Linked DNA regions of Cricetulus griseus. The protein of the gene in region 4 interacts with the protein of the main gene of each other region in a pairwise test. Links are inferred from orthologs where the notes say so. Each region holds a gene or a part of one and is shown on either strand. Other genes may lie near its edges. The genes, in order: Rin1, Raf1, Ralgds and Rras2.

The links.
Region 1: the proteins of Rras2 (region 4) and Rin1 interact in binary tests that used the Homo sapiens proteins (3 or more experiments, as listed by UniProt). The link is inferred for Cricetulus griseus from reciprocal best matches to the Homo sapiens genes RRAS2 and RIN1.
Region 2: the proteins of Rras2 (region 4) and Raf1 interact in a two-hybrid assay, tested with the Homo sapiens proteins (2 studies listed by BioGRID and IntAct). The link is inferred for Cricetulus griseus from reciprocal best matches to the Homo sapiens genes RRAS2 and RAF1.
Region 3: the proteins of Rras2 (region 4) and Ralgds interact in a two-hybrid assay, tested with the Homo sapiens proteins (2 studies listed by BioGRID and IntAct). The link is inferred for Cricetulus griseus from reciprocal best matches to the Homo sapiens genes RRAS2 and RALGDS.

What each region holds. Positions count from the first base shown.
Region 1 is NC_048596.1:54,234,292-54,239,036, forward strand, and holds the start of Rin1 (ras and Rab interactor 1), read right to left. Parts: upstream 2,993-4,745; 5' UTR 2,990-2,992; coding exon 2,835-2,989; intron 2,688-2,834; coding exon 2,507-2,687; intron 2,408-2,506; coding exon 2,293-2,407; intron 2,205-2,292; coding exon 2,132-2,204; intron 2,042-2,131; coding exon 1,950-2,041; intron 1,818-1,949; coding exon 1,077-1,817; intron 842-1,076; coding exon 536-841; intron 239-535; coding exon 80-238; intron 1-79. Other genes in the region: Brms1 (breast cancer metastasis-suppressor 1), read right to left, coding at 4,260-4,267, 4,609-4,648. UniProt on the Homo sapiens protein: Ras effector protein, which may serve as an inhibitory modulator of neuronal plasticity in aversive memory formation. Can affect Ras signaling at different levels. First, by competing with RAF1 protein for binding to activated Ras.
Region 2 is NC_048601.1:29,167,573-29,172,170, reverse strand, and holds the start of Raf1 (RAF proto-oncogene serine/threonine-protein kinase), read right to left. Parts: upstream 3,328-4,598; 5' UTR 3,041-3,327; intron 1-3,040. UniProt on the Homo sapiens protein: Serine/threonine-protein kinase that acts as a regulatory link between the membrane-associated Ras GTPases and the MAPK/ERK cascade, and this critical regulatory link functions as a switch determining cell fate decisions including proliferation, differentiation, apoptosis, survival and oncogenic transformation.
Region 3 is NC_048599.1:140,219,687-140,224,472, reverse strand, and holds the start of Ralgds (ral guanine nucleotide dissociation stimulator), read right to left. Parts: upstream 2,975-4,786; 5' UTR 2,960-2,974; coding exon 2,714-2,959; intron 1-2,713. UniProt on the Homo sapiens protein: Functions as a guanine nucleotide exchange factor (GEF) activating either RalA or RalB GTPases and plays an important role in intracellular transport. Interacts and acts as an effector molecule for R-Ras, H-Ras, K-Ras, and Rap.
Region 4 is NC_048596.1:86,550,942-86,555,529, reverse strand, and holds the start of Rras2 (ras-related protein R-Ras2), read right to left. Parts: upstream 3,235-4,588; 5' UTR 2,956-3,234; coding exon 2,848-2,955; intron 1-2,847. UniProt on the Homo sapiens protein: GTP-binding protein with GTPase activity, involved in the regulation of MAPK signaling pathway and thereby controlling multiple cellular processes. Regulates craniofacial development.

The DNA.
Region 1 (4,745 bases), about 32 Mb from region 4:
TCAGGCTGGAGTAGGGCGTCCTGCCTTCCCTTCCTTACTTGCTCAGGACCTGCTAGCGACTAAGAAGCCTCAGTTCCACCTGGACAGGAAGTGAGGGTGCCCTCACCCTCTCCGGTGAGCAGGGTAGGTTCCAGTAGCTCCGACATGTACTCAGCTTCTAACAGAAGGTCAGGAAGGTCGCACTGAGCCAAGACAAGGCTCAGCAGAGGCAGGAACTCATCAGCGCCTGCATCCTCCCCTGTGGAAAAATGGGAAGGAAGGCGTTCCAGCCTCCTCAGAGGCCCAAAGGCTAGGGTCTAACCCCTGTTCTAGACAGTGACTCCTCCCACCACCTGCTAGACCCCCTAGACAGGACCGGACTGTCATGGCAACCACAGGGAAGAAAGACACTCCTCTCTCTAGAACCCCTGAGACGGGAGGGTTGGATCCTTCTGCCCTTTTGCAGTTCTGGGGGCCTGGGACCTTCTCCCTGAGAGAGGGGGTTCAGTCTCTACTCAGAAAGAGCTGGAGCAGGGGAAGGTGGTGAGGGTCATACCCGCCTGGGTTTTCAGGGCTGTGTAGAGCAACTTGCAGGCCTGCAGGAGCCACTTGATCTGGGCAGTAGGTGAATAGGTGCCAAGCAACTGAAGCAGTTTCTGGCGCACCTGTTCCGTCTCCACTGGGTAGGAGAGGGGCAGGTGGGACCCGAGGGCTCCAGGTCCCTGGGTCCGGGCCAGGTGGAAGCCCTCAGCTAGGCGGCCAAGGGAACCATCTGCGGAAAGACGCCGCCGCAGGCGGGCAACTAGGATAGGTCGAAGAGGCTTGAGAACAGAGCGATGCAAGGACTTCTCCAGAACCAGTTCTGCCAGAGGAGAGTAGACAGTCAGGGGGAAGGGGCCTGGAAGAGCAGGAGGCCCTGGTCAAGACAGGAGGTAGGAGAGGGGTGGGGCATGGAATTCACTGCAAAAGTAGTGGGGGGAAGTGGGGTGTAAGGAAACCAGGAGTCCATCATTAGGCACCAAGGCAAGGAGAGAGGTGGGTGAGGGAGGGTGGAGAGCCAGGAACTGAACCTGTGGAGGCCAGGGCTGGGGCCTTACCCAGCCTCTCCGGTGGTAGCAGCTTCTCAGGGCCCAGCTCTGCACTCAGCATGGCCCGGGCCCGGCTTAGGGCCTGGCGGATGCCCTGCAACTCCCGGGGCTCCGGACCAGCCCGAACCTGGGTCAGTAGGTCCTGCACTAGCTGACCCACAGCTGTGTATCGGTTCTGCATTAGCGTTGTGGCTGCCCGGCCCACCTGCCTCTCCGGTGCCAGCAGAGAGCAGAAAGCAGAACTCATGGACCGAAGCAAAGGCGGCCGCTGCCTTGGGCGGCCCAGGCGCGGGGAGGTGGTAGGGCTTCGGGGAGAACCCTCCTCCTCTGAGCTGCTGGGGGAGCAGCAGTCGGCCTCCTGAAGTGAAGGTAGGGGAGGAAGACTCTGGCCGGAAGCACTCCCTGGCACCCGATACCCCATTGAACTCTCCCTCTCCAGCAGCTGTCGAGGAGGCAATCTTGCTGTTTGGCTGGAAGAAGTCCCTGGCAGCACTGGGACTGGGGGAGGCGGCACAGCAGGTGGAGACAGAGGGCTGGAGGTCTCTGTGGACACACGCACTTTAAAACTCCTCTTGAATTTCTCTCGTTTGGTGGGGCCCAGATCCCCTGGGAAGAGGGGGTTGAAGAAGCAGAGGGCTGCACCAGTGCCCTGATCCAGCTCTTGAGGGGAGCGAGCCTTCAGCCTGGGTATCGGTGGGGCTTCACAAGGCCTCTGCTGAACCTTGGTGTTAAGGGAGGAACTCCAGAACTCTGGCAAAAAGAAACCAATGGGAGCCTCAGAGCTGGCTCTGGAGGGTGCCCACAAAGAAAGAACTTGGTTGCCCTTTCTTCCCCATTTGGTCTATGTTTCCGTCTGTACAATGGGCTGCAAGGAACGCTTACCCATGCCCAAATGGGAGATCGCCTCCAGCTCCTTGTGGGTGGTTGCCTGATGAATGGCTCTGGGGAGCCGGAGTGGGAGGAGAAGAATGTCCCTAAGGTCATAACAAGGAGCAGTCAAGAGCAAGTGGTATTCAGGTGCAGGGCGTGTGGTCATCAGGTACCCGGCAGGTAGGCAGACTCACCTGGTATGGCAGTATGCACAGATGAGCTGAACCAGGTCCTGGAATACGAGCTCTGAACCCTCCAAAGAGATGCCTGAGAGACACTGGGAGTGAGGCTGTTCTCTGGGGACCTCCCTCCCCAGCCTGTCTCCAGCCCCTTCCCGCCAGGCCAGCCCCCTCACCACCAGGGCTCTCTTGGATATAGTGGCTGGAGACAAAAGAGGGGCCACTGGCTTCTGGCAGCCGCACACACAGAGCCCGGCACTGGCGAGTGTTAGATTTCCGTACCAGGAAGGTCTGCAAGTGAATAGGATTAGGAGGCTCAATGCCTCCATGTCCAGGCCCTTTCTCTCCCACCCTTGGTGAGCCAGTCCTGGAGGAAGGGAAAAGACTCACCCCTGGAGGCTCTGTCCTCAACACGTGTAGTGCGGCTGCAGCGTTGGCCCGCAACTGTAACCACACCGGCCGGGTGATGAGCAGCCGTTCCCGCAGACTCACGGTGCGTGCTGGTTGTTGGGCCCCGCCTGCCTGTGCCCTGCTGGCGTCAGGCGTGTCATACAGAGGGTCTGGAGATGGACTGGGGGCAGACACGCAGACCTGAGCAGGGGTCTGGGCAAGCACCTCTTCCCCGTCCTGGGCTTCCCACCTATCCATCTGTCTTTGCCAGACCTTCCTGTCACTGCCCTCACCCCCTGCACCCAGTTGCCCTCCCAACTTCACTAACTTTTCTTTCTGTTGGTGCCCAGGAACAAAGTTTAGGTTGGCAGTTCCCAAAGGGTGTGCTTCTGTATCCCCAGGGTCTTCCATGGCTAGGAGCTCCTTCAGCTTCTCCTGGGACTCAGGAAGAGAATCCAACCCCCAAGGCACAGGCGGGCACATTCCTAGCGGTGAGTAACACTTCCTGAAGGCGGTTCACCCTGTCACGCCCCGCCAGTTAACTCTTGTATGTCCACTCCATGTGGCCAGTGTCCACTTCTATTCTGGGCCCAGCCTTGAATGGCAGGGGCCCCCTTTATGTTAGTGTCACTATTAGGGCCTCAGCTGTGGGAGGACCACCTCCACACAGCGTTTCCTCATATAGAACCTCACACTATGCAGCTGGGTAGGGAGGAGTTAAACAGGGCAGACCAAGTTCCCACAGGCCCAAGTCTCACCCCTGTGTCACCTCAAGAAGTCTGTGGTCACTTGCTCATCTGCTTCTGCCTTGGAGGGGGTCACCCTTGTGGGAGAGCACCCCCTACTGGTCACAGATGACTCATTCCTGAACCTAACTTGGGTTTTGTGATTTCAGGTTGCTATGGAGAAAGGATGCTGTGTCTCCATGGAAACTAAACCCTTTGCTTAACTGAGGTTCTGGGGGTGGTTCTGACACTCATGCTAACCAGGGGAGAGTGTGGCTGTGAGGTTGTCAGCACATGGTGCTGCTGCTAGCTGCCTCCCACACACAGGCCCTGCCAGCCTGCCTGCCAATCTGCCAAGTGACTGGGGCAGGTGCAGACATGACCTGGCCTCCAGGCATGCCTTCATCCAAGGCCATGTGCTTCATTTGTTTGCCTGGGCCACACCACGTGTAGACTCCAGCTCTGGGCCCAGGCTCGTTTCTAAGTCACAATGTTCTGAACAACAGGGACCCCAGAAGAGTCTGTCCCAGGTGTTCCCCATAAAGCCTTGATTCCTTTTAAGAGAACAGCAGACACACACTGGTCAAGGTCCAAGGATGAGTTTTATTCCAGTCTTTAGAATCTGGGAGGCAGACACCAGGAATGGCCCTGAGAAAGTCTGGGAAGATGCCATCTCCAGCGATAGCTAGGAGGGGCAAGACCCCAACATGTTTCTGGCTCAAGAGTTCCCCAGCTCCTGGCTCAGTGGGGAGGGCTGCTGCTGTCATATGAAGCCTATCTTTATTGGGGGGACAATAAAGGAAGTTACTCTTGGGGGGGGGGCAGGAACGGAGTCTTGCTTGGCCAGGTCAGCTTCAGGGTCACGGCTATGCAGATCCCAAGGAGAGCAGAGGAGCCCAGGCCAGTGTTGGTCAGGGGACAGCAGTAACACTGGAGGACTACCAGGCAACCCCCTGCCTTTGCAGAAAAATGTTAGTCCTGTGTGTGGTGCCAGCTGCTCCAAGGACCCTCTGAGTGGAAATGCAGTGTCAGGGTCCTAGGGGCAATGGGAAAATCACTACAAGGAAGGTGAATCAAAGAGAACAACCACTGCCTGAGGCCCTGGGGAAACACCATACTCCCCTCACCCACAGGGCTTCCTTTCCCTGCCCTCTGACCCACCCTGCTGCGGGCCAGCTCCAGTCCACCTTTATCTCTCTGTGGTGCTGAACTTGGGACCAGAGGCTTACCCATGCTAGGCAAGCACTCTACCACTGGGCCCTCCATTTTACCTTTACAAGTCCTTGCCAATCTGGTTCCTATTCCCCAAACTCCCACAAAATCCTCAAAGTGAGATCAAGCTATGGATTCTGACAGGGCCACCTCTTTGGTTCTTACCATCTGGTTTTCTCTTCTGAGGAGACACTGCTGCCCTGGCCTGGGTGTAGAGAAGACAGGGGCCTTTAGAGTCTACTTTAACTTGTTGACACTGCCCCCTCTACACCAAGGGTGAAAGCTGCTGAGTCAAATTGCAT
Region 2 (4,598 bases), on a different chromosome or scaffold from region 4:
AATTTTAATGTGTAATTAAGGAATTTTCACTCACAACTTTGAAGGCCAAAATAAAACACTCAGACATTACTATTACAAGATTACAGACAAGAGCTTAGACCTCATTAGTATCAACACAATCTCGACATGACTATCTAGTGTTATATTTTGAACCCACTGGATGAACATTAGCAATTTCACCCATCTATATGTACATATATCAGAAAAAAAAGAAAAAGAACCCTCAACAACCTCTTCCTAAAGAACCTACACCTTTAATCCTAGCACTACAGAGGCAGAGGCAGGGGGGATCTCTGTGAGTTCAAAGCAAACCTGGGCTACTACATATTGAGATCAAACCATACAGGGGCTACACATTGAAACCCTGCTTTAAAAAAAAAAAAAAAAAAAAAAAAAAAAAGCAAAAAACAAAAAGAACCCAATATTCCTGATTTTACAGGTCTATATACAACTTTAGAAAAACAACACAACAAAATTTGAGTCAAAGCTTGGTTTTATGGTTTCATAAATCCCTCACTGTTCCATTTGTTCACTGTCGTTCAGAGACAGCATTTAATTCTCTTCTGCAAGTCAACATTAAGGTATGCTGTTTAGCTAACAAGCTCCTCCCAAGATCAGGGTTATCACTATTACACCTAACAGGCAAACCAAAGCATTCGCTCACGGAATATTGTTTTCTATTTTTAGATAGTAGGTAGACTAACCAAATTTTGTCTGAAATTTAAACATTAAGTAATCATACATTTACTAATATAGACTTCCTAAAAGAGCAATTTGAAGTTAGTCATTATATTTACATTAAAAATTTAGTGCTTCTGCAAATGTCAAATTAACTTCCAAAAGATGTGAAGTTGTTTAATCTTCAGAGCAAAAGTGATTTGAGGCTAAAGCAACTGGGTTCAGAGTAGTTGTAATACAGTAGCATTCTTATTTTTTGCATACTTTCTGTCATAAACGAAAGGTTTTAATATGGTTCTCAGTCTTTTTTCTACCAGGCCAAATGTCTTCAAATGTGTTCAAAAGCCTTTCAGTCAAGCCTCCTACTTCACAGGCACACAAGGTCTTTTCAACTATTCACAGGACCTTAACAAAGCTGCCTGACCCCACTTCAGGGCACAGTCACAGCCCTGCAGACCTGATGATAAGCCTTCAGAACAGAAACATCAGCAGGTTTATTTTTCCAAGTATCCAGAGCTCAGCTAGGTCAAATGTTGCTGTTGGATTTTAAACAGCTTACTTAGCCCTTGAAGTGATAAGAGTAAAAACAAGTCCAAAGAATCTGGTTTTCAGTGGTACACAACACCAAAGATTTTGAAACTGCCCTGAAAACTCTTCACATCTGAGTAGCCACTTCACCATAAGCCTTAATCGAAGTGACTATTTAAAAATAATGATCATTGGGCCAGAGACCTGGGGACTTAATCCAAAGAAAACAGTGTACTGTACAAATAGTGTTAATTAAAAACACTTTCATGCTACACTTTTTTCAGGTGCTTTGCATAATCTGCCAATTTCTGTAGTTTAGGGAACATGTTTTACATTGTCAGCAGAGATTTAAAACTCAGAGTTAGTAAAGAATACTACGTTTATGAAGTCAACATTTTTGCATGCATGTATAACCTTAGAAAAACCTTCGAGAATATCTCGGAATAGGAATCCAATTCATTAACCAATGAACGGGCAAGAAACAGTTAGTATCCATTACCAAAACTGGTTTACTTTAGACTTAAAGTAAATCTTTTCAATTTTATCATCTTCACTACCATTGGGGGAGGGAGCAAAGCAGGCACCAGCCAGAGTTAAAAATTAGCAACATCGAGTTAATTAATCCAAACTAAATGAACTAGTTCGTCACCATCCATTCATTACACAGACCCTTCAGAAGCTATCAACTTTTCTTTTGGACCCTGATGTCGCACTATCTCCTTCCTGCACCCCACATTTACTAGCTGCTCCCCGAACTCATCCCAACTCCTGTAGGCCATGCCTCATTCAGTGCCTTGGTGCCAGCTGTTCCCTCTGCTGACAATGCCCTCCCCGCTGCCTCACCTGGCGATCAAGGTCCTTCCAAACTCCGCGAGAAGCAAGCGAGGAACCTCGGGGCTTGTCTACTCCCCAAAGCGCATTTAAACTGTTCTAAATCCCAAGAACAGTTGAGAAACCAACCCTTATCACCGCTCATTGTTTTCACGCCCCGGGAGCCAGAGCACCGAGGGCAGAGTCTTCACAGACCCCACAGGACGCAATGCAGGCATCCAGACGTGCCCTGAATTTATCTATTCCCTACTTCTTTACACAGACCCGACGCCCCCCCTCCCCAGGTCCCAGTCGTGTCTCAACACGGAGAGAGGAGATCCCACCGTCCCCGTCATTGCCCCCCCCGCCCCCCCAACAAAGAATGAAAACCAGAGGCACACCCTGGGCCCTGGAGAGAGAACAATGAATGAACGAACACCGACTCGCCTCCGGTGATGTCCCAACTCCTCTTTCTGCATCCACTGGCTCCGCAGAGCCTGGACGGCTTGTCGCTTCACACAAAAGGCACCCCCGACTCCCGATCTCGAGCATCCCGGGCCTCACATTAGGAAGCCCCCGGGCGAGGTCCCCACGCCTTAGTGGCGGGGCACTGACCCGTTTTTCTCGCTGCCTTCCTCGATTCCCTCGTCTTCCCTAAAAGGGTGTCACTTGAGCGAAGCAGCCCGAGAGGAGGTGCAAGGCCGGGCTCCCCCCACTTACTTATGCAGCCCGAGAGAAAAAAAGGAACGAGCCCATCCCAGTGACAACACAGGCACCGAGCAGCTCTGGGCGGACTTGTTTTTTTTTTCTTTTTTCTTTTACCCCATTGCCAAAATATGAGGAATGCGCGCTGGGCACCGGGGTGGCGCTGGCACGTTTCCGAGAAACACTGGGAAATCTGAGCAGGGGTGTGGAAACTGGCTCGCCGGCCATGACACTCGGCCCGCGCCCGGCCCGCCACCCGGGTGACAGCGGCCTGGCGGACCCTTCGCCCCGCAGCCGCGCCGTCAACCCCGCGGCCTACCTGAGGGAGCCGGGCCACGCCGGGTCCCGTCGTGCGGCGGCGGCGGCGGCGGCGGTGGTTGAGTGAACGGGATGCGGTCACATTCGGCGCGTCCCCAAGCCGGGGGACGGGGCCCCGGGCAGGCCCCGCATCGCTGCACTAGAGCCCCGCGCCTCAGGGCACGCGCCCCAAAGCCCGGCCAGCTGGCCCCGTCCGAGGGCCCGCGGAGAGCGGCAGAGAAGCCTTCCCGCCTCAAGCTCGCTCGGTTCTAACTCCCGCCATCTAAGATGGCGGCGCAAGCACCCGCAATGAAGACGCTCTCCGGCCGCCCCGGCGAGCGAGCCCTGCGCTCGACGCTCGTCTTCGCGACCTGCGGCGCCGCGGGCTCACCGCCTCTGCGCGAGCTCCGGAGCTCGGCCGTCCGTTTGAAACTTGGCTCGGGGATCTATCTCTCGGGCCTGGAAGCCGGCCCCGCCTCCTCCGGGGGCGTGGGCTCGCGATGCCGCGGCCGCCATTTCGGGCTTGACAGTGGCGTGCCTGAGTGAGTGCGTCAGGCCCGAGGCCAGCGGGCGGGCGAGCGGGCGAGCGGGCGGCCGTGGGTGCAGCCCGGGTCGGGCCACCCGCGAGGCAGTGGGGGAGCCCGTCTGTGGCGCTTCCTCTCTGAAGTTGGCATCCACGGAGAACGGCGGTTTAGGGGTGCTTTAGGAAAGCCCTCCTACTATTAATATTAAGCCTGGGGTTCCTCGTTTGTAAATGAAGGTTTTACTGGTTGACCAAAAGCTAAAAGTATGGTGGTGTTACACATCTGTAATCCCAGCGTTTGGGAAGTGAAGGCAAGAGAATCAGGAGTTCACGGCCCTGCTGGGCTTCGTGAGACCCTGTCTCAAAAAAAAAAAAAAAAAAAAATTTTAATTGTCAAGCCAATACGGCCCACCGTGAACTGAATCCTGTGGTGCGCCTTCGTACAGCCCTGGTGGAGTAGACACCTGGCGGGCAATTTGATACCGTCAACGTTTTTTTTTTTTATTTTTTGTCTTTGAAATAGAGACTTAATTCGGGGCTGGTCTTCGCCTCTTTTGTAACTATTGTCATAGCCATTTTGGGACCCGCAAAGTGGCTCAGAGAGTAAAAAGTTTGCAGAGTATATAAAACCTGATGACCTGAGAGATCAGTCCTCTCATCCCCATTATGGAAGGAGAAAACAGACTCCTGAAAAGTTATCTTCTGACCTCGATGGTACGTGTGCAGCCTGCAACCGCACTTACAAACACACATACAGTTTTTTTTTAAGTAACCATTTCTAAGTAAACATCTATTGGCATTTAGTACATTCACGGTGTTGTGTAACCGCAACTTTAGTTGCAAAACATTTCCATCACTCTGAAATAAAACTATCCACTTAAGTAGTTTCTCACTAGCTTCCCACCCAGGGGCAATCACCAATATTCATTTTGCTGCTGCAGACTTAACGTTTTCTAGATTATCTTGCATGTGTGGATATTTCTAGGGTGTGAGGCCTTTTATGACTTATGTTTTTCACTTAGCCTGTTTCCAAGTCCATCATCTGTATTACTTGTGT
Region 3 (4,786 bases), on a different chromosome or scaffold from region 4:
TTTTAGCCCAAGGCACCCAGTACAGTGCCAGTTTGCAACAGGTTTTTATTGGTACTCAATGGACAGAAATGTGCCCTGAGTGGCCAGGCAAACCCACAGGAGGGGCTGGATGCAAGCAGTGTAGCAGCCTGAGCAGGGCTCAAAAGCAAGCCCTTTCTCAGCCCTGGGCTTGGGCTGACAGCCCAGCAGCTGGCCTGGGCCCTGTGGGAATGTCATGTGAGCCCTGCACCCTTCCCTCATCTGAGGGGGGTATTCTGTCAGCTGGGTTGGGGGGGGTGCTAACAGGCACTGAGAGCCATACAGGCCTTCCTCTAGGAAGTCAGCACCCCGTCACACAGATGGAAACTGCTCCATGAACTCCATTTCCATCAAGCAACCACAGCACAAGTGAACCAGACCACCTTACAATGCTGAGTGTGGGTACATTTGCACCAGATACTCAGAGGAGATGCCTCAGGCCTGGTTAGAAGGCAGCATAGAAGAGGCTCCCCCCCCCACCTCCTGCCCCTAAGGATCTGCCCTCAGGTCCCTCTGAGGCTGGAAAGGCAGGGACCAAGTACCCTAAGGCCACATTGGACTACCTTTGTGGCACACAGCCCATGCGGGCAGCACCATGCTCCCAGGAAATCTCAAGCAGACCAGGGAGAAGAGGGGGTAGGCTGCCTAGTGAACAGCTGACACAGCAAAAGTGTCTGCCTGCTCATCTGCCTGGGGCAGGCATCCAGGATGCCTTCAAGTGCCAAGGGAGGAATGCCACATGGTTGGCTGTGTCCGTAGGAAGGATCACCCCCCTCCCCCCAACTACAGCATGTGCAAGGCCTCGGGGCCCTGGGATGAAGTTGGCAGCTGTGTCTAACACACTTGGGTCAATCACTTGGGGGTGACAGTGTCCCTGGGGATCCTGTGAGCACTCCCCGCACCGGCCCCCTGCCATCCCTAGCACTGTCTCTTAAGCATAACCAGAACTCTCAGAATGAGGCGAGAAAACATGACCTGGGTAGCATCACCTGATCAATGTTCTCAGGCCAGCAGGATGCATGTCCCCAGCTAAAAGAGAATGAGCCGCAGGCCAAGCCCAGAACAGTAAGTAGTAAGGGGCCCAATGGGGACTCCAGGCCTGCCACCTCTCCCTGTAGAGCGCTGGATAGTGGTGGTGGAGTGTCGAGTCAGACATTGGCTGTTTCTGTTTCACAGGAGGCCTTGGCAGACATGGTAGATTTCAGAGCACAAGACCACAGCTTCCTTCTACATGTGAAGAGGCTCCGTCTACTTGGTGGTGTAGGTGGACTCTCAACCTTGAGGGTGACTTCTAAACCTGCCCATACTACTGCCCAGTGCCACTGGGTCACTAGATCACTCTAGCAGGCCCCTTGCAGGCACCCTATAGCTCTGGACACACAGGGCCCATAGGACCATATTTCAGGAAGGGTCTTAACCCCCAGCTTGGCTCAGTAACCTAGACATGAGCTGGGAGAAGAGCAACGGCTAACAGGTGGCAGGGCTGGGGCTGTAGCTGAGTAAGGGTAGCAGACAACACCCAGCTGATGATATATGAGAGCCATACCTATCAGAGGCCCACCTGGAACTACTAGACCCAAATGGCAGCTCACTCAAGAGTTCTAGACCTTGAATGAAGCTTCCAGAAGAGGGAGAGAGCAGTCTGTATGCTGGTTACCAACCTTAGGCTGCTCCTCTCCAAAGTGGGGAAGCACACTCCCCATTTCAGAAGTAGAAACCAGAGCCTAAGGCGGGGCCAGAGAGACAGTGTCCAGGACTCCTCAAGGCCAGGCCCTGGTTAGACCATGAGCCCCAGTAGAGAAGGGAAAATGAAAACGCCAACCATTAGAGTCCTCTATCCAAGCTCCAGCACTGGGTGGATATCCTAGATGCTAAGGCCTCACAGCAGCTCTAGGTACTCCCCAAGCCCACAGCCCACAGAGGCCGCCTCAGCTGGAACTATGCAAGGTGCCTGGTTGCCATGGCAGCACTGGAGCACCAAGACCTAGGAAAGTAAAGTCTTGGGCTCAGTCTGTGCATAGCTTTCAACAGAGTGAGATTCAGGTCCCCAGGAACCCTCCCTGTCAGCCTGAGTCCAACTACTGGCCAAGTTAGCATTTTTTAAAAAAGATTTTATTTATTATTATGTATACAGTGTTCTACCTGCATGCTAGTCAGAAGAGGGCACCAGGTCTCATTTTAGATGGCTGTGAGCCACTATGCGGTTGCTGGGAATTGAACTCAAGACCTCTAGAAGAGCAGTCAGTGCTCTTAACCTCTGAACCATCTCTCCAGTCCCCAAGTTAGCATTTTAGGAATGAAAACTGAGCTCAAACGGGGGAGGAAACACCTATCCCTTTAGCCTAGTAAACCCATAACTTGTATACCCAGTCCTGCTGCCCATTTGCTACTGGGCTCTTATCATAAAATGACCACTGCTGGGCAGGCCTGGGAGGGGGCATGGCCTGGTCCTCACAAGGCATAAGCAGGTCCAGTTAAAGGTTCAGACCCACACCACTGACCATGAATATGCCATCCAGCTTACTCAGGCATTTCTTGTACCAGGTCCTTTGTATACTTCATGCAAGTGACTCTCCCAGTATGCTGCCTGGCAGATGAGGGCACAGCCAGGTAGGGCCAGGTGGAGGCTTACTCAGGTAGAGCCAGGAAACAGCAGCCAGGACAAGAATTTGGTCCCAGGCCTGGAGGGACATACCCGGATCTGGCTGTTGCTTCTACCAGAGGCCCAACGCCAGGGCAGGGTCCAGCCTTGGTCACACAGATGCAGGGCAGGAGCTAGAGACAGAAATGACTTCCTCAGGCTACACAGCAAGTGGGAAAGTAGCCAGGCCAGTGGTTTCACACCTGCACCTCTGAGCAAAGGCTTAAGGACATGTCCTGGGGAAAATGCCTGTGATGCCACGCTGAGGCCACATGTCCTAGGAGACCAGAGTCCAGACATTCAGGAGGCTTGGGCTTTGTCACCTAGTCAGGAAAACTAGTTGTGGCCACTTTCAGGCTCTGTAGATGGCACTTGTTAGGCTGTTGGTCTCACTTGGTCCATTCCAGAACTCAAAGAATAATTAGCTGGGCAGTGGTGGCGCACACCTTTAATCCCAGCACTCGGGAGGCAGAGGCAGGCAGATCTCTGTGAGTTCGAAACCAGCCTGATCTACAAGAGGTAGTTCCATGATAGGCTCCAAAGCCACAGAGAAACCCTGTCTCAACCGCCCCCCCCCAGAGTAATTAGCATTACGCCCATTTTACAGATGAAGAAACTCCGAGGCTCACAGGAGCCAAGCTGGCATTCCAGCACAGCTGCCTTCCCCACAGAGCTAGGTTATACACCTCCAGGTTCAAAAGGACAGAACACTTGCAGGTGTGACTGTAGGATAACAGTGGCAGGCAGAGGCATCAAAGGAGGGGAGACTGCCAACAGAATGCCCATGGCTCAGCAGTTCTGGTCCCTGTGCCCTGCTCAGTGAGCAGCCCCTCAGGTTGTCCTTTCTCCAGAGAACTGAGTTTGTTAGGGGCCTCAGCTCCTGTATCAGGAAGCAACCAATCTCAATCTCTCACTCTCACTGGGCTGTGGAGACTGAGCTTCCTAGGGTGTAGGCCTGTTAACATAGCACTTGTGAGCACATCCAAAGCCCAACCCCCAGGGCAGGTGTCAAACTGAGACCCTTAGGAGTGCAGCCTTTTGGAACCCCCTCCACAACCCACAGGCCTGAAAACTGTCTGGCCACCCCACTTAGAATCAGCCTGTTCTTGCCCTGCTAGCAATCCGGTTCCTCCTGCTCTAGAGCTGCCCTGAGGCTCCCAGGAAATGGGCCAGCAGGTCTCTCTCAGTGTTCCAGACTGGAGACAGAGGACCAGTACCAGCCATCTGGGCCTCCTCAACCTTTTCCTCTGTACCTCTGAGAAAAGCAACAGTGGGACAACAGGGTCCTGGAGTCCTAGCAGTGATGGCCAGACTCCCCAGACTCCCCCCCCCCCCCAAGAATATAACAGGCCCTAAAGTTCCTGGAGGCTGCCCTTTTACAGTCAGCCAGGAAGTCCCTCTGAAAGATTATCTTGTGTACATACACACACACACACACACACACACACACACACACACACAGCCCTCTATGTCCCAGTGTCAAGGGAACAAAAGAACCTTGGGATAAGCTAAGAGCTGCACACAGTGTGATCAAGAGACCAGACAGCCCAGAGGGAGAAGCCCCCGCTTCACTGTTGCCAACCCACGCAGCCTTCAGGCTTCATAGGCTAGCTGCCAAGGTGAGAAGCTGGCCTGGCCTCTGCCTCTGCAGTTGACCAGCTTATTGACTCTGTGCAATCTAATTAGTTGTTTCATCTGTCAAATGGGTTATTAATAGCCTGACCGGCCCCTCTTCCCCAAAGGACAAAATGCATACAAATTATTTAGTTGAGGTCCTTCCACAAAGCCCTAGGCCACTAGCTAGTATGTTAAGCTCCCAGTTCCACTGTCCCCAGGGTCCCCAAATGTGAGGTATTTCCCCCTTCCCCTGGATTCTAAATAAGCTTTCCCATCTCTCACCATCCCAGGGCCACCCTCCACCCCCAGCTTCTGCTGGCTTCTACTGTCCACTAGCTGTCTCTGCCTTGTCCTGCTTCCAGGATTTACAAGCAACAGGCACCCCACCCCCAACCCCAGGGAACACGGCTTGTGCTGAAGTCCTGTCTGCGACCCTTCCTGACAACATATTTATCTAGGTCAGGGACTTCACCTCTCTGCCCTCCAGCCTCTTAGCAGATGGCACTGGCA
Region 4 (4,588 bases):
TAAAGAAAGGACGGGAGTTGAAGAGACTCGACCCCCCACACTCCTGGTTTGGAAGAAGCTCAGACACCCACCCAGCTCTCTGCCTTCCACTCCATGTTAAAACTGTGTCTTAACCAGAGTTTACTCACCACTTAGGTGTTCTATTCACCAAAGGAACATACAACAATTTTCTAAAAAGTATGAGCTGCCAGACTGGGTACAGACCTGTAATCCTAGTTACCTGAGATGTTGAAGCAGCAACATCAGTAGTTCAAGACTAGCCTGGGTTACAGAGCTCAAGAGTATCCCTTCAAACCTTTTTTAAAATTCAATCTTAAAAAATAATAATAGTTTTAAAGGGATATGACCAACGGTACAAGACTGCCAAGATTCTGGGTTTGATCCCTAGCACCTGGTGAGAGAACTGTAGGTGGAGGTGGGGAGAGAACAGAAATTGGAAGGTTATCTATATATGCATGTCCCTTTTTTAAGAGGGTGGGGAATTATGAGTCTGTTATGTATGTTTACAAGTCCATATGGTGTGTTTATATGTGTGTGTAACTATAGATGATAAATTGTGACTTTAGTTCCATAATCTAAGGTTAACAGAGTAATGGATATAGCCTTTCTATAAAGTGCACATTGTCCAAAGCCCTGGATATGTTAATTCATTTGACTTTCACGGCTGTATAACTTTATTACCCCAGCTTACAGATGACTGAAAACCAAAGGACAGACAGGTTAAGTAACTTACATCATGCTTGGAGGAGTGGCAGAGTCTCTACACAGGTGCTGTGCTTCCTTCCTCCTCACCAAGTCAACCTCATAGGCTATGTTCCTGTTTCATGAGCACCAAATGCCCCAAGTCACACATGCCTCTCCCACTCCCAGCTCCCCACACCTCTGCCCCCACTTTCCAGTCTGGCCTGTGACTCCTCACTCTCATCACATTTCCACTCACACTCCAATGAGACGACACGGTGCTCTTTTTTAAGGCACTAGGACTTCCCACACAAGACAAACCACTCTATACTGAGCTACCTCCCCAGCCCCACAGTGCATTTTTTTAAAAGATTTATTTATTTAATGCACATTGGGGTTTTGCCTGCATGTATGTCTGTGTGAGGGTGTCAGATCCCCGGAACTGGAGTTAGACAGTTGTAAATTGCCATGTGGGTGCTGGGAATTGAACCCTGGTCCTTTGGAAGAGCAGCCAGCTTATAACCGTTGAGCCACCTCTCCAGCCCCCACAGCTCATTTTTTTAAAGCCTTCCCACATTGACGTTTTCAAACCTGAATTCCCTTTGCATCTAAACATCTCTAACACAGAAACGGCTGTCAACAGAGTATACACTGCATGAAGCAATCACATTCAGATAGTCCCTCCCTCAAAAACGTAAATGCTTCTGATTTATGTCTTCTAAGCAATACTATCCATCAGTTCTGGAACCCAGGACTGGCCTCTGATTTCTGGACCCTTCCAACATCAGCCACAGACAGTTCGCTGTGACCTGTTTTGCTATGTCAGTCACTTAGATGACTCTCTTGGCCTCAGGCAAATAGCAACTTGCCAAAAAGCCTGACTGAAGTCGGGTTTTAAACTTAAACCAATCTCACTTCTCAACGGCCTGACACCACCACCACCTCGGAGCATACTGTCACCGTTCATGACATAAACACCCTCTCTGAATACAAAGGTTTGAGCAGCACTTTTTAATCCCAAGGAATATCACAGGAGCGATTATTGTGCATTCACTCGATGTGAAAGCTGACAAACACTTAGGTTATGGAACTGTGCGTCTTAATAACACTATAAACGTCACAGTTTATAATGAAACAAAATAAGCTATTCAACTCTATCAATTCAACAAATGGGTGAAACAGGAAAAAAAAATGCCACCCGTACTCTTTGACACAGAAAAAAACTACCTTTGTTACTTAGCAGGGTACCTGTGCTCTCCCAACATATGCCACGCCTTTCAGGATGACAAAAGCAAAGAGATCTACGGTTGCTTTTTTAAAAAAGCAAAAAGAAAAAGAAAAATCACTCGGACCTCTTAACCAAGAATACAGTCTAAGGATGAATTTCACCTTCCTTTTCTTTGACACAACCCGACTTTCCTCCTCCAGCAACCAGGAAAAAAGGAGGGAGGGGGAGCTGCAACACAGAACTCACTCTCTCCTAGCTGGGCTCATCCCAAACTTCACCTAAGCGCGAAGCAGGCAGGCACCGGGAATTCCGAGGAAATGGTCTCGCCCCAATCAAAGCACATTTTTAACTTCCTCGAAACCATTATTTCCCTGGGGCACGATCAAACACTCCCACCCGGACGTACCACCTAAGAGACTACTTGTAAGAGAAGCTCAAACACACACAAAGAGAAAACACTGTTGGGAGCCGGCGGCGCGGAGCCGCGACCAAGCAGTCCGGGTCACCAGGACCACCTAGACCACCGAGGCATGCTCAGGGTTCCCGCTCCGGCCCTCGGGGCAGGAAGCCCGGCTCCGCCAGGCGGCTGCTCTCCGCGGGATCCCGCCCCGACCGCAGAGATAAGGTGGAACTGTGCTTCCCACCCGGGCAGCTCCGCCCTCCGGGCCACATTCCTGAGAAGCCCGAGTCCCCGGACGCCGCGCCGGGCGCCTGGCGGGCAGCAGCGCGGCGCCGTGGCCGCAGGGCAGGAGAGCAGCGCCGACTCCTCACTCACAGTTCCTGCCTGCCCTCGCAGCCGCGCGCCCTGGCCCCGCGCAAACCGCACCCGCGCGCACCGCACGCGCCGGAGCCCCACACCCGCGCGCCCCGGGCGGGGTCGCCACGGCCACAGGTAGCGCCACCCCGCCGCCGCCACCCCGCAGGCCCGCTCCAGACACCTGGATGAACTGGATGGTGAGCGCCGACTTGCCCACGCCGCCGCCGCCGACCACCACGAGCCGGTACTTCTCCTGGCCGGAGCCGTCGCGCCAGCCGGCCGCGGCCATCGGGACGCCCGAGCCCAGCCCGGCCGCCGCGCGCCCTAGGCCCGGCTCCGGGGACGAGTGCGGCCGGCTGGGCTACAGGCGGTAGGGCGCGCGGGGTCCGTGAGTGGCCTGGAGGGCCACGGGGCGTTATCCCCCGGAAAGGCTGGGAGTTGCCCGAGACACTGGGAAGCCGGGAAGGCGCCGGGGCAGAGGACGCAGCGACCAGGGAGCGCGCTCCTCTCCGCGTCTCTGCAGCGCAGCCGAACGCAGCCTCCAGCACCGCTACAAATGGCCGTCTGGGGGCCGGGCCGCCGGGCTTGGGTGCTACATATGCATGAGGAGGCGGGGCCAGACCCGCCCGCCCTGGCTGAAGGTCCTGAGCGCTCTGGGCTACAGACCCCGCGGACCTGCCCCCTAGAGCACTCTAAGGCAGAGAGCGAAGAAACCGGGAAGACTGATGGCAGTAACAGTAATTGCAGAAGTCAGGGATCGTGCTCATGAAAGAAACAGCCTGTGACGGTGTGGATGAAAAATAGAACTGTTATCGTATTCACTCAACTCTGTACCCTGTTTTCAGAATGCAGATGCTCTGTATTTGTTTTAAAATAAAAAGTATAAGGCAGTGATTGAGGAAGATGAGAGCTGTCGAGATTACTAAACGTGTGATGGATGGACTAATATAGTAGCAATGAGAGTAGATGGGGAGTGATTGTGCTTGTATGGGGCCACAGTACATGTCGACAGATGCGGGGTGCAAATCTCCGTTCCTGTTTATGTGTGAGAAATGTGTGGTAACTGAATATGAGAGTCGTGAGAAATTTGCAGGCAGTGACATGCCAGGACAATGTTCTTTTCCAACACAGCTTCTATGCACATGATCATGTCCTTGCTCTCAGAGTCCAATGCGGGAGGCAGCTAGGACAATAGGCACCTTGTGAGACAAGATGATAAGGACAACTGCACAGCACTGAGGTCCAAGGTGCACTCACCCCAGAGCTGTCCAGTCAGAGGTTTTCTGAAAGACCTGATGAATAAGCTTGTAAATAGATGTGTGATTGGAAAGAAAACCATGCTGGGCTGCACGTGGTAGCCCTTGCCTTTAGTCCCAATATTCTGGAAGCAGGAGCAGACAGATCTCTGTAAGCCCGAAGAATTCCAGGCCAGCCTGATCTATGCAGTGATTTCCACGCTAGAGCTACACAATGAAACCTGGTCTGAAAAGAAATGAAGAATGAGAGAAAGAAAAGAAAACCAGATGTGCAGGCATGCAGAAGTCAGGGCTGACAAGGAACACTTCTGTTGTGTGGTTTTGAGTGTGCTGAAGGGAGTTTACAGGCTACCAATTATAAATAGAAATTCACTGCATGTGTGTCAGCTAAGTAGGTAGGAATATACCTCTCTGTAGAGGCAGTGTAAGGTTAAGGCTATGATTCTCAGCCTGTAGGTCTCGACCCCATTCACAGGGGTTGCCTAAGACCGTCTGCGTATCTATTGGATGCTTACACTATGGTTCATAACAGCAGCAAAATTACAGTTATGAAGTAGCAACAAAAATAATTTTATGGCTGGAGGTCACCACAGCATGAAGAATTGCAATAAATAGTCACAGCACTAGGGAGGTTGAGAACCACTGGGTCACATTCTCAGAGAGTAG